Linked DNA regions of Rattus norvegicus. The protein of the gene in region 6 binds, or shares a complex with, the protein of the main gene of each other region. Links are inferred from orthologs where the notes say so. Each region holds a gene or a part of one and is shown on either strand. Other genes may lie near its edges.

Region 1 (4,258 bases), on a different chromosome or scaffold from region 6:
GCTGGGAATTGAACTCAGGACCTCTGGAAGAGAGTCGGTGCTCTTAACCGCTGAGCCATCTCTCCAGCCCCAAATTTATTCTTTTATATTACGAATACACTCGCTGTCTTCAGACACATCTGCTTCTAACAATATTTTAAACACTAAGGACTGGCTCAGTGGTAGGACTTTGCCTTGCAAATGCCTTGGGTTTGATCCCTAGCAAACCACAAAACCACAACACACACACAATCTGGTGCTTCAGCTGAGGGGGCAGTTTGGAGTTCAGATTTCTGATTCTTCATTCTTTCACCTAGGACTTCTCTATATCAGGTTATTACCATAAAGGAAGGAACACACAGAGAGAGAACAGAGAGAGGAGGGGGCTTCTTTTATTATCTACTCCTGCTCAGGAACAAAATTTCACACTTCACTAAATGTTTTTAATGGAGAAAAAAAATCACCTAGACCCAAAGCAATGGCAACGCAGGAAGTTGAGAACTATCAGAGGGAGAAAAGCTCAGTGGCCTTCCTTCCCAAATCCCTGACCAGGGGAGGGCTGCAGGCAAATGTGTGGTGGCATTATCTCCAGTCCTACCACTGAAGTTCTGCCCCCTTCTGGTGGTATGTGTCCGATGGGGCTGTTTTCACAGGAATCTATGTGTGCCTGTCTGGGTTCTGACATTTACTTATGATACCTCTTTCCACCTCAGAATCCTGGTGAGCGGGTGCTGCATGCTGTAGTTCACTCAGGATCAGCCAGCCCTAGGGCAGGAAATGAGCTGATCCGCAAGCAAATCCACAGCCATGCCGGATCCCATCGATGGGAAGTGGAAAGCCAAGAAGTGGGCTGTGTTAGCCAGCCAACAATTGTACTCAAGTGTCTCAGATTCTATGCAATATTTTGGGGTGGGGGAGATCTCGCTATGTAGCCTAGTTCTCTCCAAAACTTCTGAGCTCATGATGTTTCCTCTAGGCTCAGCCTCAGGAGCGATAGAGACTATAGACTCTCTCCATCCCGCCCACTTCCCTGGCTAGTTCTAAGCCTTCCCCTAGAGTAATCCCCTTTACTGTCCCCAAACCCTCACCCAGTAGCCCCAGTCTTGGACCTTTTGCTTTCTTTTGAAAAAGCCCCTCGATCTGTTAGAACGAACACCTTAGAGGATCGCCCAGCCAACAGCGGTTGTTGCCTAGCAACGGCGCCACTAGCCCGCCCACGTGACCAGCCCGAAGGCCCTCCCTTCGGGCTGTCCCAAGGCGCCTGATCAGATCCGAGACTCCTCCGACCGTGCGTTTTTCTGAAACAGTTCACGCTTCGTTTTGAGGATCAACAAATTGGCTTTTCCAGTTTCTGTCTCCAAGCCAAAATTCCTCGAAGCTGCTCCTCAGGCAGAGGGCTGTCCTGCGAGGCGAGGCGATCCGGCGACGCGCTCGGGGTCCTTCCTGGCGACGGGCGCCGGCGTTGTCGCGGCGTGCGGCGGAAGCGCGGGCTCAGGCGGCGGACTAGTGGCCCTCGGCTGATCAGGCGGCGGGTGAGCTGGCCGGGAAGGGTATTCTCAGGGGTTGGGGAACCAAAGAAACCCGAGTTTGGGAAGAGGCGAATTATGCCTTTCGCTTAATCAACGCGTAAATTGAATTCTGGCGTGGGGAAGGGAATGAAAGACACCGACCCCCAACACACGCTCACACGGTCGATTCCAGCGTTTCCGTGGTCCCCGGCGTGGTTAAGATCCTGTGCCTTAGTAGAGGTGGCGCTGTAAATACCCAGACCCCTGCCACTCCCCCTTCTATCGGTCCCTGCTTCACAGCCAAACTGTGTCCGTCTTCAAACTATTCTGCATCCAAGCTGGCTGTGATAGCTGGTGCCTAATTCTTCCTCGCTGGAGATAGAGGCAGGAATATTGGTGCAGGTTCAAGGCTAAGCAATGGGTCTGGTTCAAAAAGCCAAAACAGAAAAGATTTCAGCATTCCTTTGAGGATCTGTGTTGTAGCGGGAAGATGCAGTTCTAGTATTAGGGACTAGCTTTACTTAACTAAGCATGTAACTAATTCATCCTCCCACCCCCAACAAACAAAACTAGCAAAACGTATTGAAGGCCTGTTTTGTCCCAGACACTACTGTCATTTTTTGCTCCGATTTTTATTATTAACGTTTGTCAGTAGCAGATATACACCCATGTATTCCTAAGTACTACTCAGGCATAACCTTGATTTATTAGGCTGGGGGTGTAACTCGGTGGAGAAGTGTGAGGCCCAGAATTTGATCTTAATCACCCGACCACACACTAAGATTAGTGTAAGGCTGGGTTGACAGGTGTATGTGGAGGGATTTTTAGCGTGGCAAATAGGTGACATTAAAGGAGAGGGGTGAGTTAAATGAATTAAGATATAAATAGCCAGAGGACAATGGGAATGACAATAGCCCTGAGGCAGAGATGAGCTTGGCTTGTTGAGCAAACAACTTTCTTTGAAAATTTGTGCCATTTTCTGGTGGGAGTCTTGAGCATAATTGTGGTGGCCTCTTAGAACTAAAAACAATAGTTACATCAGAGTCTCCATAATGACTGACATTTAATTACCAGTGATTAGCACTCTAATTCTGCATTTTATTTATAGTCATTCCTCACTGAGGTATTCAGTCTACAGTAAGAAATAACAGAATTTCAAAACTGAACATTCTACTCAGTTAACCTTACTCGGTGTCTGTTTGTGCAAGGTGCTGCCTAGGGTTTTGGCGTGTGAACACATGCTCATGTTTTATGTTAACCAACATTTGTTATTTGTATTTTTTTGGGGGGGGGGTTCTTTTTTTCGGAGCTGGGGACCGAACCCAGGGCCTTGCGCTTCCTAGGCAAGCGCTCTACCACTGAGCTAAATCCCCAACCCCTTTATTTGTACTTTTTGAGACAGGGTCTCTCATATCTCAGGATAGGATCGTGGGTATAAGCTCTCATGCCCAGCTAATCTTACGTTGTGTGTTTCTCTGTGAGTATGTTTGCAAATCTCTCTGGTGAATGAGGATCAGGTGTGCTGTGGCTTGCAGGCAGAGGTCAGAGGACAACCTTCAGGGTTTGTCCCTCCACTCCTGACCTGTTTTGAGATAGGATCCCCTCGTTACTGCCAACACCAGACTGACTGGCTCTGAGCCTCAAAGAATCTCTGCCTCCCATTTCCTGTAGGAAATCGCAGACACTCACACTACCAGATGGGGCTTTTTCGTGGGTTTCCAGGATTGAACCCAGGCCGTCAGACTGCATAGCTAGGTACATTCATCGCCTTTCTAAGGTCTTAGGCTGTGATAATTCACTCTAGGGAGGTAAATGCAGTTCCACGAGTTAACATCATCGTTAGAGATGAGGCTGAGATACGATGATGGAGTGAGGTCGATGGAGCGAGGTCTTTAACTCCAGGGGCCTGATGCTTTTCCCCTGCTTCGGTTTTTGTTGCTCACAAACTGTAGAGGAGTTGTTGGTGAGAATAACAGTAGTCACCTAGCATTTGGGACAGAAGATACTGAAGAGAGTGAGAAGTGAGAGGCTGAAGGGCTAGGAAAGCTTGAAGGGTGGGATCTAAACTGTTCCTTTGAGCAGGATATCAGTCACTGAAGTGGGGGAAAAATCCACTGGAATTGCAGACAATTGTAAGCTAATGTGTGGATGTTGAGACTCGAACCTGGGTCCTTTGAAAGAGCAGTAAGAACAATGAGTTCTTAATCATCACTAAGGGAAAATGAGTACTTTTATAACAAGCATGTCCGCTGTCAGCATAGTTGAGGGCACAGCGAGAATCATCAGTGAGGAATGGTGTACCGCTAAGAGCAGATGCAAATCCACACGAAGGGATTGCTGATACAAAGCATTGCTTTGTGGTCTGAAAATGTCAAGTCGTGAAAGTCAAGACTAGAAAGCCATTCTAGATTAAAAGGATAAAGATACCTCAGGGTGTGTACAGTCCTGGTTTATGTCCTTAGCTGTATAATTCATGACTGGAACAGTTTTTCAACTTGGCATTAGGTAGAATAACCTGCTGGTATTGATGTTTTTGTTTTGATGATTGTATTGTGATATTTTGAGAACTTTTTTTTTAAAGTAAGATGCTGGAAAGATGGTTTAGAATTTAAGAGTAACTTCTAGGCAGCCATGAAGACTTGGAGTCAGATCCTAGCATTCACATGGCAATCTTCATGTTCCCAAAGGATCCAATGCTGTCTTTGGAGACATGTGTATAAAATTATACATAGACAAACAGACACACACACACACACACACACACACACACA
Region 2 (2,613 bases), on a different chromosome or scaffold from region 6:
TAGCCCTGGTTCTCCTGTAAAATTCTGTATACCAGGCTGGCCTTGACTCAGAGATCTGTTTGCTTCTGACTCCTAAATGCTGGGGTTAAAGGCATGTACCAACACCACCCAGTTCTGATCTTGATTAAAGTCACCTAACACTAAGGTAGTGGGTTAAATGGGTTTTTATTGGGATTATATTAATATTTTTTATTAACTTTCTGGGGGATTTTGACAGCTTTCTAATAGTGAGTCATCCTATCTAAGAAAAAGAATGTATTTCTAAAAATGTATGTTTATGTGTTTTGGAGATTTAAAAGAGTTCTTCATATAGGCTTTGTATAGTGTTTATATATTGGGTCTATTTCTAAGTATTTTGTCCTTTTTTGTTGCTGTTATGAAGGGGATTTCCCTTCCATTATATCTTCTGATTACTTTTTGTATATAAAGGGTGACTGACATTTAACTCTGTCCTGGTATTTTACCAAATTGCTTTTTTTCATTGTTTATCAGTGATGCTGTTTAATTTTCTATATATACTATTGTATATAATCTGCAAACAGAGACACGTTTACTTCTCCATTTCTGTTATCCGTTTTATCTAATTGCATTGGCTGTACCTCATTATACTGTCAACTAGTTCTCCATCTTAGTTGAATCACATTCACTATTTTGCATTGAGAAACATACTAGATTTTGGATTGGTATAATCATGTAACTTATAGGTCAATTTCTGTTTTATTTTAAGACTTAATTTATAAAGCTTTGGTCTTTATTAAAGCTTGTCTTTGTTAGGTTTGTTTTATTTTATATTCATTCTTTTTAAGGAATCAAATTTTTTAGGCCTACAGATTTCCCTGAGTATAGCTGGATTATATCCTACAAAATTTCGTGTATTTTTAATGTTTTTAAAATGTCTAAATGGTATACCCTTGACATTTTAAATTTTGGTTCATCCAACTATTAAGTTATACGTTGGCAGTGGGTTTTTTAAGAATTATAAAGAGTGTATGGATGTTTTTGCTGGCATGCATTTCTGTATCTTGAGAGATAGAAGAGGGTTCTGTACAGCTGGAGCTACTGAGAGCTGTAGGCATCCACGTGCGTGCTGGGAATTGAACCTGGGTCCTCTGGAAGAGTAGCCAATGCTTTTAACTATGGAGTCATCTCTGGCGCTCCAGTAGCAGGATTTTGTTTAAAATATTATTTCTAGTTTTATTACAGTGACTGTTGAGTATATAGTATAGATATTAGAGTTTATTTTTAACAAGTTTAACTCTATACTCAATCTACTATGTCATTTACAGTATTTTATTATATGAGTTTTGTTTGATCGTTCAGTATGAAAGCTTTTACATTTTAAATGAATAAAACATTTATAAAATAAATAGGTATGGAGAGATTGTCAACATTAATCTTGTGAGAGACAAGAAGACTGGGAAATCCAAAGGATTCTGTTTCCTGTGCTATGAAGATCAGAGGAGCACAGTTCTGGCCGTTGACAATTTTAATGGAATTAAGGTAAGTGAGCTCACTGTGTAGTCTTTGGCTGGACTTGTCCTGTGGGTAGATGAGGCTTCACTTTTTTGCCTTCTGTTTATAGCTGCAGGAATAGTACTGCTCAGCTGGGTGTACTGTGGGGGTTGTAGAAGTACTCAGGCAGACTGGATAGGAAATGATTCCAGGAAAACATTTTCTGTCTCATGCACCTGCCAGGAATCATTCCTTTTCTCTGTGTGTTAGCAAACTGTTGTTCCAGAAACATGGGTCTGTGCCCCCTTATCTGGCAGATGTTTTTAATGCATATTTTCCATCTGTTCTAGTACACTAGAGAATGAAGAGACTGGAAACACAGCTCTTGGATATTGTGCTGTGTAAGGGAACTGGGAGCTTCATCATGGCTTTAGGAATTAAGACAGAGCCATGTATATCTAGTCTATGATTTCTGTGACTTAATATATTGGCTCCTAGAAATTTTCTAGTTAAAAAATTCTGGTGACCAATTCTATAAAAATAAGCTATTGTGAAATTCTAAGTAAGTGGCATACAGAAGGAATCATCAGAGGAAAATTGCCTTTTCAGAAAAGTATGAAAATGAGAAATAGAATAAATGACAGAAGCTTTTCAGGCTTAAAGATATAAATAAAAATATATCTTTATAATAAGATATAAATAAATAGTGGAACAGTGAAATTAATCTTTAGGTTTTAGATGATATTGCCCGCATAGTAATCTGTAATGTGTCTGCTTGAAAATAGATTATTTAAAGGGCAAAGGATTAATTTTATTGTTGTTCACCTGGAAAACTCTTAACTTACAGCCCAATAATCAGTAGGAGAAGAAAAAGGTATGAGAGCTCGAGAAAAGGAAATAGGGCTAGGAATATAGCTCAGTGATAAGAGTGCCTGTCTGTCATATCCAAGACCCTGAGCTCAGTACCCTCGCTTCAGCCACCGCTCCTACCACCGTCACAATCACAGCACCAACAAAAAAATTTTGTTCCCTTGGTCTTATTTTGCCTCCTTCTTACTTTGTTGAAAAGGCAACTATAGCATTAAATTTCATGTTTCTTGTCTTCATGATTTCCTAGGGCATGTTTTCTTGTTAAATGTGTATAACTTTGTATGTATACAC
Region 3 (3,993 bases), on a different chromosome or scaffold from region 6:
TTGGTGTGTTTTGATAGGCGGACTGTAAAAGCAAGATAAATCAAAGAGGAAATAAAGGTGGAATACAAGTCATTTCAAACTCTTGGATATTTCTTTTATGAGCCAGTATTCCGCTACCAAGCACCTAGGACTTTAGATTTCAAATAGTCTAACCCCATGAATACACTCAAACTAGAGAGTCTGTGCTCACTCTTAATAAAACATGGAGGCTGTCTCTCCACCGATGGAGTAATCCTGGCTTCGCAGGTGAAAGTACGAGGTGTGAATAATTCCATTGCCTTGTCACCCCCCCACCCCTTGTGGTGTCCGAAGTCCTCCTAAGCAGGGAGAGCTGTCACTTTATTAACCTTTGGCACAGGTTGGAAACCTTGGTAATCTACCAATCAAGTCTGCCACTCAATGCTTCTATGGCTGCACTGGCAACTTGTTGGCAGGATAACGCTTTAGCAAAACCAGTAAGAGCTCTCTAGAGCTTTCCATCCTAGAGTGAGGACCGCTTCTGAATGCTGAGGCAGAACCCTAGTATGTTCAGTCTGGTTTAACCGAGTTAAAAGGGTGCCCAGTAGGGTCTGGGGATGCACTAGTCGGGGTGTAGGTGCACACACTGCCTCCCCACGCCATGCCCGCAGAGGGCCCTCGCTCACGCCTCAGTGCGGGTTCGGTGGCAAACACTGTCCGGACCGGGAAAGGTGTCAGCGAACACTAGTCCCACAAGACATCGATGGTGTCCGCGTCCGGTCATCGCGTTACCTGCAGCAGGTGAAGCTGGGCCACGAGGTGCCGTGGCAGATGGAGGAAGCAGTCCCGAGCATTCGTGAAGGCCACCGTCACGACCGCCCCACCAGACCCCGCACCGGCTAAGCGATCACTGCTCCACATTGTCCCAAGGTTCAACTCTCGCCGGAGAGCCGAGTCCGCCGGCTTCCCGTCAGGCCAGGGCGTCGGAGCCCGAGAACATCGATCGGGGCCGCCCCCCTCTTCACTCGCCTGACCGCTGTCACTCTCGGATCGCTCCTCCGAGGCTCTAGGGGGCGGCACATCGCTCGTCGAAGTCTCGCTCTCCGGAAACAATCGTCGATGGGGTCGATCCTCCAGCCAATCCTAACACGCTTGGCCCATACTGCTCTCTCATTGGACACAAAGGAGCACCGCTGGCGGATGTTGTTCTGGCGCGGGGGCTTGAAGCCGGCAAGATGGCCTCCAGTGACGGGAAACCCGGTGGCATATTCGACCACCACGTCCAGACAGCTGTGTGTGACTCGCGGGCCAAATACAGGGAGGGCCGACGCCCTCGCGCGGTCAAGGTAGAGTGACTTGGGTTCCTTCTCTCTCCTCGGCAGGAGCATTAACTTCCTGTCAGCACTAGCTCTCCATGGCCTGCCTCCATAAAGGCACGGCAGGGATGCTGTCAAGTCCATCTCTCAGTGGAGGGGGCACGAGGAACAAAGTTTATCGCTGTTGTCGGTTTACTGCTTACTCCACGATTTTTAGCTTTGCATCCTATAATACAAGGACAAGGTCTCACAGGACAAGCCCTGTTAAGTGACTGTTTACATTAGCTTCTCTGGGGTCAACTTTGGGAAAAGACGTCTGTTTAGTCAGATACCCTTATGTGGAGTGTGTTATTCTTTAGGCAGAAAGAGTGACAGTTTTGTGTGTATGTTTTGCAGACCATATTGAGCAGAGTATTTCTTGTTTTCAAAGCTCCATTTAAAAGAGGGATGGGAAGACAGATTTGCCATAGGCTTGTTTGAAGAGTACGTTTAACGGGCTCTCCCCCGACTTTAGGTATATACCATCAATTTGGAGTCTCAGTACTTACTAATACAAGGAGTTCCTGCAGTGGGAGCCATGAAGGAATTAGTTGAGAGATTTGCTCTCTATGGTGCGATTGAACAGTATAATGCTCTAGATGAATACCCAGCAGAAGATTTTACAGAAGTTTATCTCATTAAATTTGTGAAATTACAAAGTGCAAGGTATGTACAAGTTAAGCAGAACTCGCGTCTTCTATTCCTGTTGCCGTCATTTCGGCCTCAGGATTTCCCAAACAGACCCAAATCACATGAGCACTTCTCACTCTCAGTCTTCCTGATTTGGGGGTTGGGGAGCAGGGTTTATTTGAATAGCTTTAGCTGTGCTGGAATTAGTTCGATAGACCAGGCTGGCCTTGAACTCAAAGAACCCTTTGTCTCTGCCTCCCGAGTGTTGGGTCCAAAGGTGTGCAACACCCCATCTCGCCTTCTGGTTTAGTTTTTACCAGGCCTCACATATGCAGTCAGTCACTCTAACAGTGAATGATATCCCAGCTCTTCCTTCTGATGTTCGAAAGGCTGACTTTACAACACTTTTCCCATCCTGTGCTTGATGGTTTCTGAACCTGGAGTGTGGTAGATTTGGGAGATGAGGAATTACATTTGAAGCACATTTCCAGTCCTATGGCTTCCTGACTTTGGAGAATTTTATTCCTGCCAAGCACATTTTTTTTTCTTTTCCTAAAATCCACAGGGCAAAAAGGTCTACTTCTTGAGGTTCACTGAGGAAGGATGAAATGAAACAATTTATGTAAAAGGATTAGACTGGTACCTCCTATTAAGAGTAAATATTAGAGCCAGGCAGTGGTGGCACAGGCCTTTAATCCTAGCACCTGGGAGGCAGAGGCAGGTAGATTGAGGTCGAGGCCAGCCTTGTCTACAGAGCTAATTGCAGGACAGCCAGAGCTACCCAGAGAAACTGTGTCTCCAAAAAAACAAACAAACAAACAAAAAAAACCAAAAAACAAAAACAAAAAGTAAATATTAGTAATGACAGTTCTTATTAGTATGGTTCTATGTTAATCAACCTTGTATTCCAATAAGACTGAAGTCAACAATGCTTTATTTTATGTTAACCCTTTGGGTGGGGGAGTGTGTGACTGTAGGTGGGTGCACGCCTGCGTGTGTAAAACTTGCTATGTAGGCCAGCTGACTAGAACTCAACTTCCTCCTGAATCTGCCTCCCCATCCCCACCAGGTTTAAAGACATGTACCACTACAGTGTACTCTACCCTATGTTTTGAGACGAGACCCTTATTGAAACTAGAACTCATGGCTAGATTGGTTGGCCATCAGGCTCCAGTGGTCTTACCTTCTCTATCTCGCCAGCACAGGGATTATAGGCACAGTACGGTGCCTAGTTTTTATGTGCACGCTAGGGATCTGAGCCTAGCTACTCAAGCTTAAACAAGTACTTTTTCAACTGAGCAGTCTCCCTAGCTCATGTTAGCCATTTTTTCTTTTTAATCATTAACATGATCTAAACCATATCCTTCTCTGGCTTTTGCCATTTATAAATGTTTTGGTGGAAAAGGGCTTCAAATCCTCTGGCACTGGAGTTACAGGTGGTTGTAAGCTATCCAAAATGGGTCTGGGATTTGAATCTACTCTTCCCAAAATCAGCAAGTGCTCTTATCACCCACCTAATTATCCCTCCAGCCCCTGTGTTTCTTTTGTTCGCTACTCCTAGTCCACCACAAAATCACTTGACTTCAAAAGGCCATGTGCCTTTTCTTACCAAGTGGGCAACTCTTCGTGGTATAGAGAGCAGATTCTCTAGCGCCTTGTATCTCTACAGACCCTGATACAGTTGGCTTTGGAGTCAGCCATCTGAGTTGAATCCTAGTTTTATAGATGAATGTATGTGACCCAGAATTTCCCGGTGCCTTGGTTTTACCATGAGATGGTTATGAGATGTCAATTTAAGTGGCACACTTGTGGCTTTGCATGGAGTAATCGCTCAATAAACATTAATCATTATCTGTAGATACAGAAGTACTTAATTACTTACAGTGCTTGGTTCAGCATAGGTGTTCAGCATTTCTTTTTTAAACATTATTATTTCTCTTATTTTTATGTGTATGTGGCGTGGCTATTTGTTAATTGTTTTTGAACCATGTAACTTATGCATTTCTTTAGCATTCTCTTTAAGTTATGCATTTCTTTTTAGGATAGCTAA
Region 4 (4,017 bases), on a different chromosome or scaffold from region 6:
CCTAGCAAGCGCAAGGCCCTGGGTTCGGTCCCCAGCTCCGAAAAAAAGAAAAGAAAAAAAAAAAAAAAAAAAAAAAAAAAAAAACTCCTCTATGCCCTTCCTCTTTCCTCCTCGGTGGCCTCACCTGATCCCCGAGAGCAGCCTGGATGAAACTGAGCAGCACCTCATAGGTCTCCCGGGTCTCCTTCGTCTTGGGCTTATAGATGATGCCCACCATCTCATCAATGCCCTCTGACAGCAGAGTATAGCCTTTCATCTTGTTGATGTCGTGTCGGTCCTCATCACGTTTTCTCCTCCTAAAGGACAGAAAACATGAGGCTGAATGGGAGGACTTTCCATTCCCGAGCAAAGCTTACCCTTTCTATACATCTACTCTGTGAAGGCAGGAAAATGAGTGAAAAAAAATAGCTCCTACCAGACCTTAATTATTTGAAGAAGCACTTCTTTATGTCCCACATTTATGGGATACTTCATATGGGACATTCTTATAGAAAGAAAATATAACATCATCTGATAAGCTGTTACAATGAAACACGGTCTCCATTACCTTTAAATGTACACCTTTTTATAACCATATGAGGAGACTATGTAATATTATTTATAACCACATGAGGTGACTATGTAATATTATTTATAACCACATGAGGAGACTATGTAATATTATTTACTTTTATAACCACATGAGGAAACTATGGAATATTATTTCCTTTTTTTTTAGCCTTAGCTACACCCATCACATTTTAGTAGTAAGAGAAACTAGGCTCCAGTGGAATCTACTTCTAATGACACCCAATAAATAACTAGAAAAGATGTCAGGCTCTGGAAACTGAAAGACCAATATTTGAGCTCTTCTAAAACAACCACTCAAACCAAACAGGGCCAAGAAGAGATGGCTCAATGGTTAAGAGCACTAACTTCTTTTCCAGAGGTCCTTAGTTCAATTCCGAGCAATATATGGTGGCTTATAACCCTCTGTAATGGGATCCAATGCTCTCTTCTGGTGTGTCTGGAGACAGCTACAGTCTTTTTTTTTTTTTTTTTTTTTCGGAGCTGGGGACCGAACCCAGGGCCTTGCGCTTCCTAGGTAAGCGCTCTACCACTGAGCTAAATCCCCAGCCCAGCTACAATCTTAAGATAGCTACAGTATACTCATATACATAAAATAAATCTTTAAAAAAAGAGATAGAGAAAAAGAGAGAAAACACATTTTTTTGGAAGGTGGAGGCACATGACTTTAATCTCAGTGCTCGGGAAACAGATGCTGATGGATCTGAGTTTAAGGCCAGCCTGGTCTATAGATGGAGATACCCTGTCTTGAAGGAAGGAAGGAAGGAAAGAAGGAAGGAAGGAAGGCAGGCAGACAAGCAGGCAGGCAGGCAAAACAAAGTAGTATTTAACTTTTGAAATGAATCCACCAACATGAAAAGCTGACAGAAATCATCAGGAAGTGATAGGCAACAAAAGAAGAAAGGTTGGGGAGAAAAGTTTCTAACAATGTGGTGGAGCTGAATTACTGAGAGATTAACTAGAGGCCTGAAATAGTAGGAGCTGAATTACTCAGAGGAGATTAACTAGAGCCCTGAAATAGTCAGATAGCCAACTGGAGAGAAGGCTCAAGTAGTCTGACGCCAATACTGCTTTCTAAGAGGACCCAAGTTCAGTTTTCAGACTCATATTGGGTAGCTCAGAACCTCCCGTAATTCAAGTTCCAAGGGATCTCAAACCATCTTCTGGCCTTCACATAGGCATTTGCATGCATGTGCACAACACCCCCACCCCATACACACACACACACACACACACACACACACACACACACACACACACACTGAAGAAAATTAACATCTATGAATAGGAAATATGTCAGTAAAAGGTATCAATAGATTTTGTTCCACTTCATTACACCTAAGTTCAAAGAAGTTTTAAACCTTGAAGAGGTTTCTGCTATGTTGCACACACATCACTGATCTTCCATACAAACTTCAGCAAAACTACTGCTCTAATGCTAAAGATGGGCTTTACATTAGCTGAAAAAAAAAAAAAAAAAGCATCCCCTTGGTACTTACTTGGCCCGTCTTTCCTCCTGCATCTGTGGTTTGGTCCTTTGAGCCTTATCTCCCATTCGAGTTCCCTCCAATTTCCCAACCAGGGACAGAACCTCTCCTGTCGGTTCATCCCGGCGGGTCCGGTCAATGAGAGAGCGGTCAGCTTGGAGCACAAGATTTGAGTTCTGAAAAGATCATACTTTATCAAAACTTTGACATATGGTTTTTGAATCCTGTTATTACAGTGACACCAGAAAATGGAAAAACATTGGAATAAAAGAATAATGCTCTTAAGAATAGTATGTCATTGCACTATGCATGAGCACTGTACTATCTGATAAGGTGAACGACCAGCGTTCCTAACAACATCCACAATAGCCCACATTTGGGAAAAATGTTGGGCAGATCAGGGGTAACGAGGAGACAGTTTAGCGGGGGGAGGGGGGGACGGGACTCCTAAATTCTCACGTCCCTCAATCTCCACTAAGGATATTCCGTCGTGTTTTAATACATCCTTCACCCAGCTCTCATTTCCCCATCAGTGTTCGTGACTATCCACGACTTCCCTTGCCCGCAATCCTACTCCGAGACCACACGTACCGCTTTGTACTCGTACTGCAAACTGCGGGCAGTCACATCCGCCATGGCTGCCGGTGCTCCGGGAACTCAGGGTTCCACTCTTCCTCACGGTGCGAACCGCCTGTGCAAACCGCTCTGGCCCAACAGGTACCACGCAGGACAAACGTACGGGACGGAGAAACGAAACGGACTTCCTTCCGGTTCCGGGACGCACGATAAAAGTGAGACTTTCCGGCTATTACGCAAGACTTCTGGGCGGAGTTTGTGGACGATAGTACATCCGGGTCACGAATTCCATTGACCGACTAGGCACACGCGCGTGCGAACTATGGTTCCACACATCTATAGGTACTACAGAGCCAAGGCTGAACCCCCGAAAAGTATGATGTTAAAAGTCCCTTTCTGTAATACTTTTGGTTTCTCATACCAGCCGTTCTGTGAGGCAGGCAGCAGGCTTGCAAGGAATGGAAACTAAAGAGCTCCATTTCTGGACAAGGAAGCTGAAGGTTCAAGCAAGTTGGCATGTCTAGTAACTAACTGGATTTCTCTTCTGTATTGAGAAATTGGGGTAACGCTCGCTGTCCTATTGAACTCATCTTAGACTCGTTTCCGTAAGACTCTCCCCTGTGTCAGCTAACTGACAGTAGAGGAAAAAATATTTGTGCTCAATCATCTGACACAGCCTGTGTCAGGATTTTAGGTGTGCACAATCGTGCAGATTACAGCATATAATTTTGTCCTCAATGTGGCACGAACGTTTTACTAAAGAAATATATGAAAAATAAGTTATGTGTATAGAAATACTATTCAGATTTATTAAGCAATAGTGGTACCTTTTATGTAAAGGTAGTATTTAGTCTTTTAATAATTCTCTACACAACACTGAAAGCAAAACAGCGAGTTCTACTTTTCTTTTATGTTTAATAAGCACGAGTGAACCTTAAGCCTGTGTCTTAATCCATCGAGCCATTTTGCTGACTTTTTTATTATTTGGTTTATCATTTACATTTTATTCTTTGTATCTGGGTGTTTTGGCTTACATGTATCTTTGTGTCTCATGTACACGCAGACCTCCAAGATGCCCAGAAGAGGGTGATAGATTCCCTTAGACTGGAGCTACAGATAGGTTATGAGTTGCCATGTGCGTGGTGGGATTGGAACCCAGGTCTTCTCAAAGAGCAGCCAGTGTTCATACCCATTAAGCCATCTCTTTAGCTCTTGTCTGGTTTTTGAGAGAAGATCTTCTGTAGTCCAGGAGGCTTCAAACTTGCTATCCAGAGACTTCTCTTGCCCTCTCGATCCTCCTGCCTCCAACTCATAGACACTATGGCTGCAGCCCTGGGTTGCTGTGACCAGCTTGTATCTTATCATATTTAATAGCAGCATGGTAACC
Region 5 (4,012 bases), on a different chromosome or scaffold from region 6:
GATATGAATTCACAGGGGAATCCGGTCCTCTTTGTGTTTAATGGACGAGAGAGTCATCATCTAACACTGCACTCTGCAAACAGTGAAGCCCTAGAGCTGTGTCCACAAGCACTTGATCCAGCTCCTGTTTCCTACTGGCAAGCAGTACCTGTGGTGTTCCGGGCCCCGTCCTTCCATGTGTCTGGAGTGATAACCCTGCCGAGTTTCTTTTCACCTGTTGTAGCAAGATAGCAAAAGAGTACAACTGTCATCTAATACACACACTGTGTGGAAATAAAATAACAAAACGCATTTCTCTGCTAACGTTACAATAATAATTTAAAATAATAAATATACTGTATTATGCCTGAAGTACATAATGACATGAAAAGTGAGACTACAGTAGGAACCTACTAACACCAGGGTAGAAATCAATGAATGAATGATAGCAACTGTGGGCAACAGATACTGGTTCTAAATAAAACTTCCAGGACAACAAGATGCCCTACCAACAGGTTCCACTGATTATACTTTAAACAATTCTGACAAACGTATTCATTTCTCCCACATTCTCTAATCACCTAGTCTGTACAAAGCACTGTGGGAGGTACTGAGGAAAACAAAGCCATGAGTCTAGATTCAGGGGCTTAGACCCAAGTTCACGAGCTCCTTAAGAGCTTGTAGGCTGATAGCTGGGAGGAAACGAAGCAGGCGGGACTGCACAGAAACCTAGAGCATGTGCTTATAACCTTTTCTTGTTCTGACTGGAGCCTTTCTGAAAAGTGAAGAAGCCTTCAGTAGAACCATAAGCTGGAAGCCTGAGCTGTGAACTAAGGAGATGGAGCTTAAGTGTTGGGAAAGTAGATGAGGAGATGAAGTCAAACAGTAAATAAAGGACACATCCCCAGGTCAGGCATGGGAAGCTCAGGGGTACCACAGTGCACAGAGTACTCTGGCGAGCTCAGTGTGAGGTGGGAGAAAGGAGGTTGGAAGGATAGCTTAGGTGTTTGTCTGTAGAGGGCCTCGGACGTCAAGATCCAAATGGACAGTTACTTCTTAGAGTTTAAGTAGGGAAAAGGTCAGGTGGAGAGGTGAACTGGATACTCAGTGGTATGGATGTGCTAGCTGAGGTCAACCATTTCCCAAAGATCTAATGGATCAAGAGAAACAAAGCAGACCAAGACAAACACCCTGGAACCCAGTAAATGGAAGAGAACTCTAAAAATTTGGAGACAAAGAACTTTTTGAGCAACTTATGACAGAAGGAAAGGCAGAACTGAGGTGGCTGCCTGACAGTACAGCTTCTGTATGAGCAGGAGTTCAGTTTACATACAGGGTGAGTGTAATGAGCACACAGACTAGGAGGTTACAAATAGTAAAACATTAGATTTTTCAGAAGAGCAGAGGAGTAACTATAATAGAAAGAAATGGCCTTTTACTGCACAGCACAAAGGACAGGGTCATATCTACATTTAGGCCACATTTAATTAAACACTTTCCCCACTTTCAAAAAGAATAAAAAGCTGTTTGAGAATGGAGCTGATGAAGGTAGCTAGGAGTGGTCTTCCCGAGGGAAGGGCATACCAATTGGTTGTCCAGTGCTAATGGTCAGCCCGGAAACATACATCCAAGTAACAATATATGAACTGAGCAGGCTGCATTTATAAAACAACTATATACATGTATGCATTCAATACAATTAGTGAAAAAAGAGGTCAGGAATTTGATGGATATATGGGAGAGTTTAGAGGGAGGAAATGGAAGAAAGAAATGTTGCAATTATATTATCTCAAAAATAATAAAGAAATAGAATTTACTGGAAAAAAAAAGAATGGTGGCTGAGTCTGATGCCACAGCTACTAGGTGGTGTCTGTGTCCAGAGTTCTATGTACTGTGGTTGTATATATTAGCCATTAACTGAGATCCAAGTTGGAATCTTGTCAGAGAAGGCTGTCTAGCCCAAGAAAGAGATCAAGAAAAGAAAGCTGTTTTAAACAAATCAACAGCTTTTGCAGTAAAAAACAAAAAACAGAAAACGAAAAAACAAAACAATAAGTATTTTCAACAAATCTCAGGGGTTTCATTGGAATTACTGAATGGTAACTTAAAGAGTTAAAAAGACCTTTCTAAAAGCCAGGGATGACTACATAGATTTCTTTGGTGGTGATGAGACTCTCTCCTTCACCTGACCTAATGCTGTATTAATGAACTGACGGGATGGTATAAGATATTCAATTAAACTTAATTTCAGATGACCACTGAATTAATTTTTAAAGTAAAATCTGTATTAAATGCGGCATGTTTTGTAGTAAGGAACAGCGAACAAAAGCCAAGATTTAAATATTATGCGGGACATATTAATAATACTAGAAATTAATCATTGCCTATAATCTTATAATGTAACTGAGAGCCTGGGATTTATATTTGTTACACCTGGCAACTCTAGATGCTACCAGAAAGATTTTTAAGTCTCTGGGATCCTGTCAAGAAGTTATAATTAAAGAGATCCAAGGAGGGCGCGAGGACGGTGACAGAAACAAGCATAGATGTGCAGAACTGAGACCATTCTGAACACAAAGCATAGGGCTATAGGGTCCCGGGATAGGCAAGGACCGTGGGGCAAGGAAGGAAGACAAAGGTTATACTACAGACCGGTGAGAAAAAACAAAGGCCGAAATCCCAAGAGAATTTCGTCGGGTTCCTCCAGCCTCCACCTCCCACAGAAGCAGCGCCTTAACTTACACTTTTCACACACCATCCTTCCACGGGTCGTCCTGTCCCCCTCAACCCGCAAAGCAGGAGCAGCTGCCAAAATACATCAACAACACAGCTGAGAAGACTTCCTCTTCCGGTTACGTCAGTTCGCTTCCGTACTCAGCCCTCCCGCTCCGGCCTATCCAGGATGGAGAAAGTCGCGGGAGGGATAAACGCGAGCTCATGGGCGGGGCTTCCTTTATCGGTCCGCCTCTTCTCTTCAACGATTGGCTATCCGCTTGTGAGTCCCCCGCCTTCTGGTCTGCGCCTGCGCGAGGGGCCATGGCAGCCTGTCGCACCTGAGGGTGGGAGGCGGTGGTGTCCCCTTCCCTTCGGCGGGCGGGAGAGTTAGGTAAGCGGGAGGGATGCTTCCTAAGTTCTCCTGGGGCAGGTGCAGGTCGCTCTGCGGACTGCTGCCGTGGCTTCCAAGGCGCCACGCTTCCGGCGGGCCAGAGGATGCATGGCGCGACGGACCCTCTGAGATCCCGGCGTCTGTCGGCGGGACCGACCCTCTGTCACCGTCTCTCAGGTTACCGGGTCGGCCGCCCGGGCTCTCTCTGATGATGCCCCTCAGTTGCCCACACTCGCGCTGTCCGGGGTTGGGACAGAGTCACCTGGGTGGGGTTGAGCCGCGGTCAGCGCCCGGGCAAAGGCTGCTCAGGAGGGTTCGGGAGCAGCCATGCCTTCCCACCGGGCTCTCGTGGGATCGCGACTCCGAAGGGCGGCTTCCCAGGTGTGGCGTGCTAGGGAAACTCGCCCGCCGGTGCCCGAGGAAGGGCTCCATTCAACCGGCCTTTGCGTTTGGGCACGGCTCGCCGTGTTAGATAGGGATTTGCAGGTGGCCCAGAGACAAGCTCTACTTAGAGGATGGATTTCTGATCCCCCTACCTGCCCGATCCCTCAGTGGAGGGGAGAATCTGAGAAACTTTTCCGAAGTCTTTTCATTGTTATCCGTTCTTGTCCGGACCCCGGAGGGTGTCTTCATGTTAAAGAGGCGATACTTGAAATGGCTTTAGTGTGTGTAACCTTGGCCGCTTCTGCTAACTTGTTTAGCCGGTTTGCTTAATCAGTACCATATTTGCCTTTGAAAACGATAGTGTGAATTAAATGAGGGCAAATAGGACAACGCCCAGACTTGCACTTTTACGTTCCCTGTTAATTTCTCCTCCTTTTGTGTGGATGTTCCTTTTTGGGCCGGATTTTTACCACATTGTAACAATTGCTAAAGTTCTTAATTAATTTTAGTCAATATAACATAAAAAATGTTCTTTAGGTCAAA
Region 6 (3,500 bases):
CACACACCAGCCCCATCCTCCCCGAAACACTCCAACCACTTCCCACCACAGTACTCACCTGTCCCGTTAGGAACACCAGTATATCCCCAGGGGGCTGGGTCACATGGATCTGCAGCACAGACACCACACAGGCTTCCAGGTAGTCAGCCTCTGGGGCCTGGGAAGGAGGAAGACACAGGGTCACAGAAGGGCCACTTGCTCAGGCAGGCTCTTGTCCCTGCTCAATGCCCACCCCTCTCTGGGTGTCCATTAGACCCTTCCATTGGGACATCCTCCTAAGCCAGCCCCAGCTCCTCTGCCTCACACGGAAGCCCATCCTCCCGAGGGGCACCTTGGTATAGAAGATGTCAACTGGAAACCTGCGTCCAGGGATTCGGAAGACAGGGGCATCATCGAAGAAGGCAGAAAAACGAGCAGTGTCCAGTGTGGCCGAAGCCACCAGGACCTTGAGCTCAGGTCGGAATCTAGCAACATCTTTGATCAATCCAAAGAGAATGTCTGTGTGCAAGGTCCGCTCATGAGCTTCATCCACCATCACCACACTGGGGAGAAAGTGGGAGATTGGTGAGGGACAAGCGGCAGGGGCTTAGCAGTGCAGGGCTGGATCAAAGAGAGGGATGGAGGGACCTCAGGGGGAAAGGGGACTGAGTGGGAGGAGGCTAAGGAGAAGTCAAATGTTCCAATTACGTAATGTTGGCAGATGGTGAGCATGGTGGGGGGTTCTGTGATCTGCGGCCCATCCGGGCACTGGCCAAGAGAAGCAGTCAGGACGGGGCTAGTAACATGGCTCAGCGGTAAATGTGCTGGCCACCAAGCCTGCCGACCTCAGTTTGATCCCTCGAATGCACATGGTGAAAGTACAGAACTGACTCCTATAAGCTGTCTTCTGATCCCCTACATGTCCACACATACACACACACAAATATATACACACGTGCACACATACACACACACATATACACATACATATATACACACATATGCACATGTGCGCACATACATACATGTACACACATACACACATACATATATATACACAACTGCATACACACACATACACAAATGCACATACATATATATACATACACATACATACACACAAATACATACACATACGTGTACACATACACACACGTACATACATACATACATACAAACACAATTGTATACATACACATATACACATACATACATACATACACACATACATACATATATACACACCATAAGTACACACTCATACATACATACACACACACACATATACACACACACACACAATTCTTTTTCAAATATAAAAGAACAAAGAGGCAGGGAAGAGTCTAGATTCCTTTAACCTAGGATTAGAACAAGTCAGACATCTCTGGATCAGTCAAGAGACAGCTGTTCTCACTGGAAGAAGTGGAACTAAGAACTTAAAGCAAACAGTGCATGGCCTGGTGGCTCTTCTTGTACTCTCAGCAATGTGACCCACGAGACTGAGGCCAGCTAAGGTTAGATAGTAGATTCCGGGCTAGCCTGGGCTACAGAGAAACCCTGTCTCAAAACACTAAGAACAGATAAGGGCCACCTGGACCCATTAGAATAGAGAGAGATTAAAGGAAGCGAGAATCTCTGAGGGGGAGGTGGGGCATCTTGTGCAAAGCATACACACACACACACACACACACACACACACACACGCACACACACACACACACACGCACGCACACGCACGCACGCACACGCACACACACACGCACACACACACATGCACGCACCTGTAACTTGCGAGGTCAGGCTCAGAGAGGAACTCCCGGAGTAGCATTCCATCTGTCATGTAGCGGAGAACAGTTCGCTCTGATGTGCAGTCCTCAAACCGGATGCTGTAGCCCACCTGGTCACAGACAGTCAAGAGGTTGGAATGACCGATGACCAGACCTGAGGTGTGGGGCCATGCCAGCAACGTAAGAAGCTTCCCTCTCACGAATCCCCAAAGACCTCACCTCATTCCCAAGCTTCACCCCCATCTCCCGGGCCACTCGGGCTGCCACACTCATGGCCGCCACTCTCCGGGGCTGGGTGCAAGCAATCTTCATACCCTTCTTGGTGTAACCCTAAGAGGAGAGAAGGAGGGGTTACTCCTCTGTTAGACATGCTGTTGTGAGCCAGGCAGGGCAGGGAAAGGAGAACAGATGGGATGAAAGCCAGAGAAGGACAGACAGACAAGAGAGAAGCCAAGGGCCCCCGGGGATGCTAAGCCAGCCTGCAGACCTTGGCTTATAGGCAGGGCTCTGCTGGACTTGAACTGACCAGGGACAGATTGGCCGAGGCATACCCAGAAGCAATGGGAGACATGCGGTTAAACAGTAGGAAAACACCTTTTACTTTTAGTTCTCTGGCCCCTGCAGAGGGAAAGCAGGGCCGAGGTCGTGCGGGATGGAAGCCCAAGAGGTTCCAATCTATGATGCTCATCTCACTGCTCCCATGGGAGACCTGCACGTTCACAACTCGTACCAGGTATGGATGTGATGGCGGGGAGAACAAAATGGTAGAAAGAGTGGCCTCGTCAGTCTCAAAAGCCTCATGACTTAGCAGAAAGGACAGGAAAGGACATCTTTACCATCACACAAAGGGGGTCTCCCAGGACTGACTCAAGGGCTGAGTGGGCCCTAAGTGACATGCTGTAACGACTGACCTCCTCAAAGAGGTACTGTGGGATCTGTGTGGTCTTCCCTGACCCAGTCTCGCCCTCGATGATGAGGACCTGATGGTTGGCAATGGCGGTCAGGAGCTCCTCTCGGAAGGGGAACACTGGCAGGCTGCGGCGCACGGCCTGGATGGACTCCTTCTGCTGGGCCTGGGCTGACAGGGGCGGGCCTGATGACGGCTCCTGAGGAAAGGACAGAGGTGCTGAGGTCCCCACCACCTTGAGAGGCCCTCCTGTCATTACCCCGGACTTTCTCCCTCTCACCTCGTCGCCCTGGAGCTGAGCGGCACGGACGAACTCGATGGTCTCGTCCTCCTCCAGCACCAGCTGGTACTGGGGTTCCTGGGCAGCAGCGTCTCGGGCCCCAAACTTGAGGGATGCGGCGTCCAGACGGGCCTCCTCCCAGCGCCGCTGCTCCTCGCCCGGGGCCCCTGATTCCTCCTCGACGATGTCGGTGGCTCGAGCGGGCTACGGGGAGAGCAGCCGAGAAAGCTGAAGAAGACCCTCCCCACCACTGCTTCTACCAGTTATGAACAGGAGAGGGAAGGGAGCAGCCACCACACCGGTTCCCTCACCTGTCCTCGAGTCTCCTTGGGCATGTGGTAGCGATTAGTGGCCTCCAGCTTCTCCTGCTCGCCAGCCGCCCGGTACTCCCGAGCCAGGTCCCGCACACGCCGCTTGTACTTGAGCTCCCGGCGCTCATGGCGGCTCAGCTCCACGTCCCCAAACAGGACCTCCTCATCAGCCAGTTCTGCCTCCAGGTCCTCCAGCTTTTCCCGCTCCCGCTTTGCCAGGTATTCCCGACGAGACT
Region 7 (4,155 bases), on a different chromosome or scaffold from region 6:
GGCTTCATAAATATTTTCAGGGCCTTTCCTACAGTACTATGCATTGTGAATCTTGGAGATGTAAGGTGGGTATATCTCTTAAAAACACCTGCCCGATATTAGGGTTTTTGCAGAAACACATTCTGACAAGGCCGGCTTGGGGAAGTTCTTGAGGCTCCCCAGTAAACTGGAGCAGCAAACAAAAACATCCCCGGAGCCCAGTGTGCCGTGTCTAGGTTAGAAACCTCTGAACACCAAAGTGGAACCTACAAAAGAATCTTTGATACAATTCAAGGAAGCGCCTTCTTGAAACTAAGAGGGAAACTGAGGCCCCAGAAGGGCACAGAAACCGGCCTACAGCTACACTGTAACTAAAGGCTGGAAGAGCTAGGACAAGCCCCAGGTGCACTTCTTGACTGGATGACTTTCACTACAATGTACCACCTGGATTCGCCAAAAGTTCACACTTCGAATTTTATTTTGAAATTCAGTGAAAGTTACAGTCTTACGGGCAACTTGTCCCCTTAGGCCTACAGTTCTCATTGTCACCAACTCTCTTGTCCCTCTTACAATACACTTTCCCTGTAATCCTGTGCAGTTTGGGCTTGCACAAGAATGACAGAGATGATCTTTCCCAGCCCTCTTTGAACTTGTAGTGTAAACTTTTTCATGTAAATCAACCGATTCTAAATTTTCAGGCCTTCGCCTGAATCCCCAAGTGCTCCCTGCCACCCCCGGTCCTGGACTCCCCTGCTCGCCTCATTCCTCTGGAGTGAGAGAGCCCTGCGGTTGATCTTCACCTGGGACTGCCATAATGCAGGTGAGTGGGGTCACCGGAGTCCTGAGCTTTCGAGATCGCGTTTCGTTCAGGTCCTTAGCGAGGACAACGCACTAGCAGAGGGATCTCTCCCACCCGGTCACTACAACTTCACAGGGCAGGAGAAGGCCGGATGCACATCCAGGGTTGGCGGAACTAAGAAGCTGCGGACCCAGTTTCCAGGGGTGTCCTACCGCGGAGCACACGTGGTCTGAACCATTTCGGCCAGCTTCCGGAGGTGAGTGCTATCTGCAAACACCGGACCTGGACGCAGCACCCGGATTTACGGATTGGCCGTTTAGCTAGTATTATGAATGACACGACAAATTCTCTAAAGTTGCAGAGGTCTTATAGTCTTTTCTAGTTTCCTGAAGAACAGGGACATCCCCCCTCCCGGAGTTAGCGGTGCTGCGATCCGGGAGCAACATGGCGACGTCCATGAGGGGATAGTTTGGGGGAGTAGCTAGTGCTTAGTACGGTTGTCCTGTCTAACTCTGACCGAGTAAAGTTTTCCCCAAGTACCCAGGTAAAGAATTGTCTACTAACAGGTGGGCATCGTCAGAGACCCGCCATTCGCTCGCGGCCACACTAAGGAACGGAGTCTTGAGCAGTGAGCAAGATGAGTAACATCTACATCCAGGAGCCGCCCACGAATGGGAAGGTGAGAGCCTCTACCACCTGGACATCCTAATTAAGAGCAACCTGATTGGGGGTGGCAAGGGAGTTGAAAGACCAAAAGGACTGCCCTCCACATCATGCTTATGGCCACTGTTGCATTTATACTATTTACAGTGACATGTCTCAGCGTATTTTTGAGAGTTATTGAGCAACTTCTCTATTCGCTAGTCTTCTGACCCCTTAACTTCCTTGATCCAACTCACGTGAGCGCCTTCTAGTGTCTGTTGTTTTTAAGACTTACGTTAAGATTGTTCATTTTTTTAGTTGTTTAACTTGGAGGTCGCGCATTCTCTACCATCATTTATTGAAGGCCTCCTTGGCACAACGCACTCTACTAGGTGCTGATGATACAAAGCAAGGTTGGTGTGCTACACACACACACCCCCACCCACACACACACACAAATATATATATATACATATATATATATACATACATATATATACACATATATACATATATACATATATACATATATATGTATATATATATACACACACATATATATATATGGCTAGCTGCTAATTCCCTATTTCAAAATTACAGGCGTGCATCGACACACCTGCCTTTGGTTGGGAAGAATTGAAGAAGATTATATTGCCATGATAGTAAGGCGGAGTGAAAAACAGGAAATGATGGGGAAAACATCTTGGAGGACATATCTTTTGAGATAATTGTCAGAGGCAGCGGGGGAGTGAGGAATATTACTGGGTAGGAATGGGAATCGATTCCCTGATAGGTTTCATACCGAGCTATATTTCTAGAGGACAATATTAATTTTAACTAATAAATGCTCGTAGAGATAAAATAGACTGACCATTTATTCCCCAATGCAGGACCTTAACTTTTGCTGTTCATTTCTCTAGTATGCTATTTTATCTGTTCAAACGTCACTCTTAACAAAGAGGCCTATAAAATAGCAAATCTCAGTGATGCCCTGGGTCTCAACAATTTCCAAGTATTTAATAGTATATTACTTTTGTTTCTTTCCTATATAGAATGCAAACACTATCAGTGAAGATAAACATCTAGAAACAGTGATTCTCTACCTGTGGTTTGTGACCACTTTGGTCAAATAACCCTTTTACAGGGGTTGAATATCCGACATCCGACATATCAGATATTCATGTTAGGATTTATAACAGCAGCAATATTACAGTTATGAGATAGCAATGGAAATAATTTTATGATTGAGGGTCATTACAACATGAGGGATTGTATTAAAAGGTCACAGAATTAGGAATTGAGAGCCACTGACCTAGAACATTGCTTCACATACACTGTGGAGTTCATGCACTATGAAAGAATAGCTAGGCAGATGAATTAATACTATGTTTTCTTTAGCTTCTGAGAGGTATTGAGCATAAGTAAGGGTGAATCATGCCCAGACTTAGTTGTTTGACACTTTTAAGAAATAAAAGAGGGTTTCATATGAGTCTTTAGCTATGCTGGAACTGGTTGTTTACTGTAGGAAATGATTTGACACATTCATAGAGTAAAAGCATTTCTGAACAGGAGCTCATTCCTTCAACAAATATTTTTAAATTGTGTATATATACATGAGGTGTGTGTGTGTGTGTGTGTGTGTGTGTGTGTGTGTGTGTGTGTGTGTGTGTGTCTTGTTTTGAAGAGTTAAAATAAAAACTTCATAAAAACTGCAAAAGAACAGCAGATAAGGGGACAGGACAGAGCTGGCCTGAGATGTGCCCGGCCAAGCCTAAAAACAAGGTCAAGGGATTGTTCCAGGAAGGGGGCCATCCGGACGTATGACTCCCTGCTCTACAGATAAAGATAAGACGTTCTCCTATATTGAGAACACCCCAGCCCGCACGTACTGCTTGCAGATGAGACCTTGTACCCATTTCCCTTGCTGATAACCATGCGAAACCCCCTGGCTTCTCCTATATAAACCCCTGCCTGAAGAGGCTCGGGGCCGATTCCTCTGTCTCCTGTGTGAGATAAGTGTCGGTCTGGGATCTCGTTAATAAACGCTACCTCTTGCTGTTACATCAAGACCGGCTACTCGCGTTTCTTGGGGGCACCTCAACCCATGACTGGAGCGAGGGTCTCCCCAAGTTTGGGGGTCTTTCAGTTTCATGGTTGTCCCACTGCATACATTAGAAGGTTCAGAGTATAACTTTAGATGATGGCCCTCATCTTCCACTTAGTTTAAGGCAGTGTCTTTTTGTTGTGTGATGCTGCCTATGTCAGCCTAGCTGGCCTGTGTGTAAGCTTCTGGAGAACCTTTTTGTCTCCTCGGCTCAGCGTAGAGTGCTGGAATTAAAGACACATGTTATAGAACCCACATTAAAAGAAAAGGAAAAGAAAAGAAATCACACACACAGAGTCTGGGTACTTGTGAGTCATTCTTTTATTTTATGATCCAAGTTTTAATGATTAGTTACATGGGCCTATGTTACCCAGATTAACTAGGCCAGCTTTCACAATTGCCATTTGAAAGATAACATTACTAATGTAGAAACTTCATCATGAGTCGTGGTGCTTATCTTAATCAAAGCACTTGACAGGCACATCTCTGACTGCAGGGCCACCCTGGTCTACAAAGCAAGTTCCAGGGCAGCCAGGATTATACAAAGAAACCCTGTTTTAAAAACAAACAAGCAAATGTAACAACTTGCTAGGTGTGGTGGTATACTCCTTTAGTACCAGTACTCAGCAAG

What was found.
Region 1: Dhx16 (region 6) and Eftud2 share a complex: the UniProt entries of both Homo sapiens proteins name them as parts of the minor spliceosome. The link is inferred for Rattus norvegicus from reciprocal best matches to the Homo sapiens genes DHX16 and EFTUD2.
Region 2: Dhx16 (region 6) and Rbmx2 share a complex: the UniProt entries of both Homo sapiens proteins name them as parts of the minor spliceosome. The link is inferred for Rattus norvegicus from reciprocal best matches to the Homo sapiens genes DHX16 and RBMX2.
Region 3: Dhx16 (region 6) and Rbm48 share a complex: the UniProt entries of both Homo sapiens proteins name them as parts of the minor spliceosome. The link is inferred for Rattus norvegicus from reciprocal best matches to the Homo sapiens genes DHX16 and RBM48.
Region 4: Dhx16 (region 6) and Snrnp200 share a complex: the UniProt entries of both Homo sapiens proteins name them as parts of the minor spliceosome. The link is inferred for Rattus norvegicus from reciprocal best matches to the Homo sapiens genes DHX16 and SNRNP200.
Region 5: Dhx16 (region 6) and Cript share a complex: the UniProt entries of both Homo sapiens proteins name them as parts of the minor spliceosome. The link is inferred for Rattus norvegicus from reciprocal best matches to the Homo sapiens genes DHX16 and CRIPT.
Region 7: Dhx16 (region 6) and Cwc27 share a complex: the UniProt entries of both Homo sapiens proteins name them as parts of the minor spliceosome. The link is inferred for Rattus norvegicus from reciprocal best matches to the Homo sapiens genes DHX16 and CWC27.

What each region holds. Positions count from the first base shown.
Region 1 is NC_086028.1:88,343,358-88,347,615, reverse strand, and holds the start of Eftud2 (116 kDa U5 small nuclear ribonucleoprotein component), read left to right. Parts: upstream 1-1,458; 5' UTR 1,459-1,511; intron 1,512-3,163; exon of another isoform or gene 3,164-3,242; intron 3,243-4,258. UniProt on the Homo sapiens protein: Required for pre-mRNA splicing as component of the spliceosome, including pre-catalytic, catalytic and post-catalytic spliceosomal complexes. Component of the U5 snRNP and the U4/U6-U5 tri-snRNP complex, a building block of the spliceosome.
Region 2 is NC_086039.1:132,769,395-132,772,007, forward strand, and holds part of Rbmx2 (RNA-binding motif protein, X-linked 2), read left to right. Parts: intron 1-1,370; coding exon 1,371-1,500; intron 1,501-2,613. UniProt on the Homo sapiens protein: Involved in pre-mRNA splicing as component of the activated spliceosome. As a component of the minor spliceosome, involved in the splicing of U12-type introns in pre-mRNAs.
Region 3 is NC_086022.1:31,512,734-31,516,726, forward strand, and holds the start of Rbm48 (RNA-binding protein 48), read left to right. Parts: upstream 1-1,193; coding exon 1,194-1,304; intron 1,305-1,788; coding exon 1,789-1,979; intron 1,980-3,984; coding exon 3,985-3,993. Other genes in the region: peroxisomal ATPase PEX1, read right to left, coding at 751-879. UniProt on the Homo sapiens protein: As a component of the minor spliceosome, involved in the splicing of U12-type introns in pre-mRNAs.
Region 4 is NC_086021.1:134,880,956-134,884,972, reverse strand, and holds the start of Snrnp200 (U5 small nuclear ribonucleoprotein 200 kDa helicase), read right to left. Parts: upstream 2,801-4,017; 5' UTR 2,691-2,800; coding exon 2,646-2,690; intron 2,231-2,645; coding exon 2,067-2,230; intron 297-2,066; coding exon 125-296; intron 1-124. UniProt on the Homo sapiens protein: Catalyzes the ATP-dependent unwinding of U4/U6 RNA duplices, an essential step in the assembly of a catalytically active spliceosome. Plays a role in pre-mRNA splicing as a core component of precatalytic, catalytic and postcatalytic spliceosomal complexes.
Region 5 is NC_086024.1:13,340,135-13,344,146, forward strand, and holds the start of Cript (cysteine-rich PDZ-binding protein), read right to left. Parts: upstream 2,801-4,012; 5' UTR 2,738-2,800; coding exon 2,722-2,737; intron 215-2,721; coding exon 149-214; intron 1-148. UniProt on the Homo sapiens protein: As a component of the minor spliceosome, involved in the splicing of U12-type introns in pre-mRNAs. Involved in the cytoskeletal anchoring of DLG4 in excitatory synapses.
Region 6 is NC_086038.1:2,873,252-2,876,751, forward strand, and holds part of Dhx16 (pre-mRNA-splicing factor ATP-dependent RNA helicase DHX16), read right to left. Parts: coding exon 3,265-3,500; intron 3,158-3,264; coding exon 2,954-3,157; intron 2,873-2,953; coding exon 2,678-2,872; intron 2,569-2,677; exon of another isoform or gene 2,361-2,568; intron 2,097-2,360; coding exon 1,986-2,096; intron 1,877-1,985; coding exon 1,761-1,876; intron 543-1,760; coding exon 332-542; intron 158-331; coding exon 59-157; intron 1-58. UniProt on the Homo sapiens protein: Required for pre-mRNA splicing as a component of the spliceosome. Contributes to pre-mRNA splicing after spliceosome formation and prior to the first transesterification reaction.
Region 7 is NC_086020.1:37,706,539-37,710,693, reverse strand, and holds the start of Cwc27 (spliceosome-associated protein CWC27 homolog), read left to right. Parts: upstream 1-1,355; 5' UTR 1,356-1,415; coding exon 1,416-1,457; intron 1,458-4,155. Other genes in the region: protein SREK1IP1, read right to left, coding at 780-792. UniProt on the Homo sapiens protein: As part of the spliceosome, plays a role in pre-mRNA splicing. Probable inactive PPIase with no peptidyl-prolyl cis-trans isomerase activity. As a component of the minor spliceosome, involved in the splicing of U12-type introns in pre-mRNAs.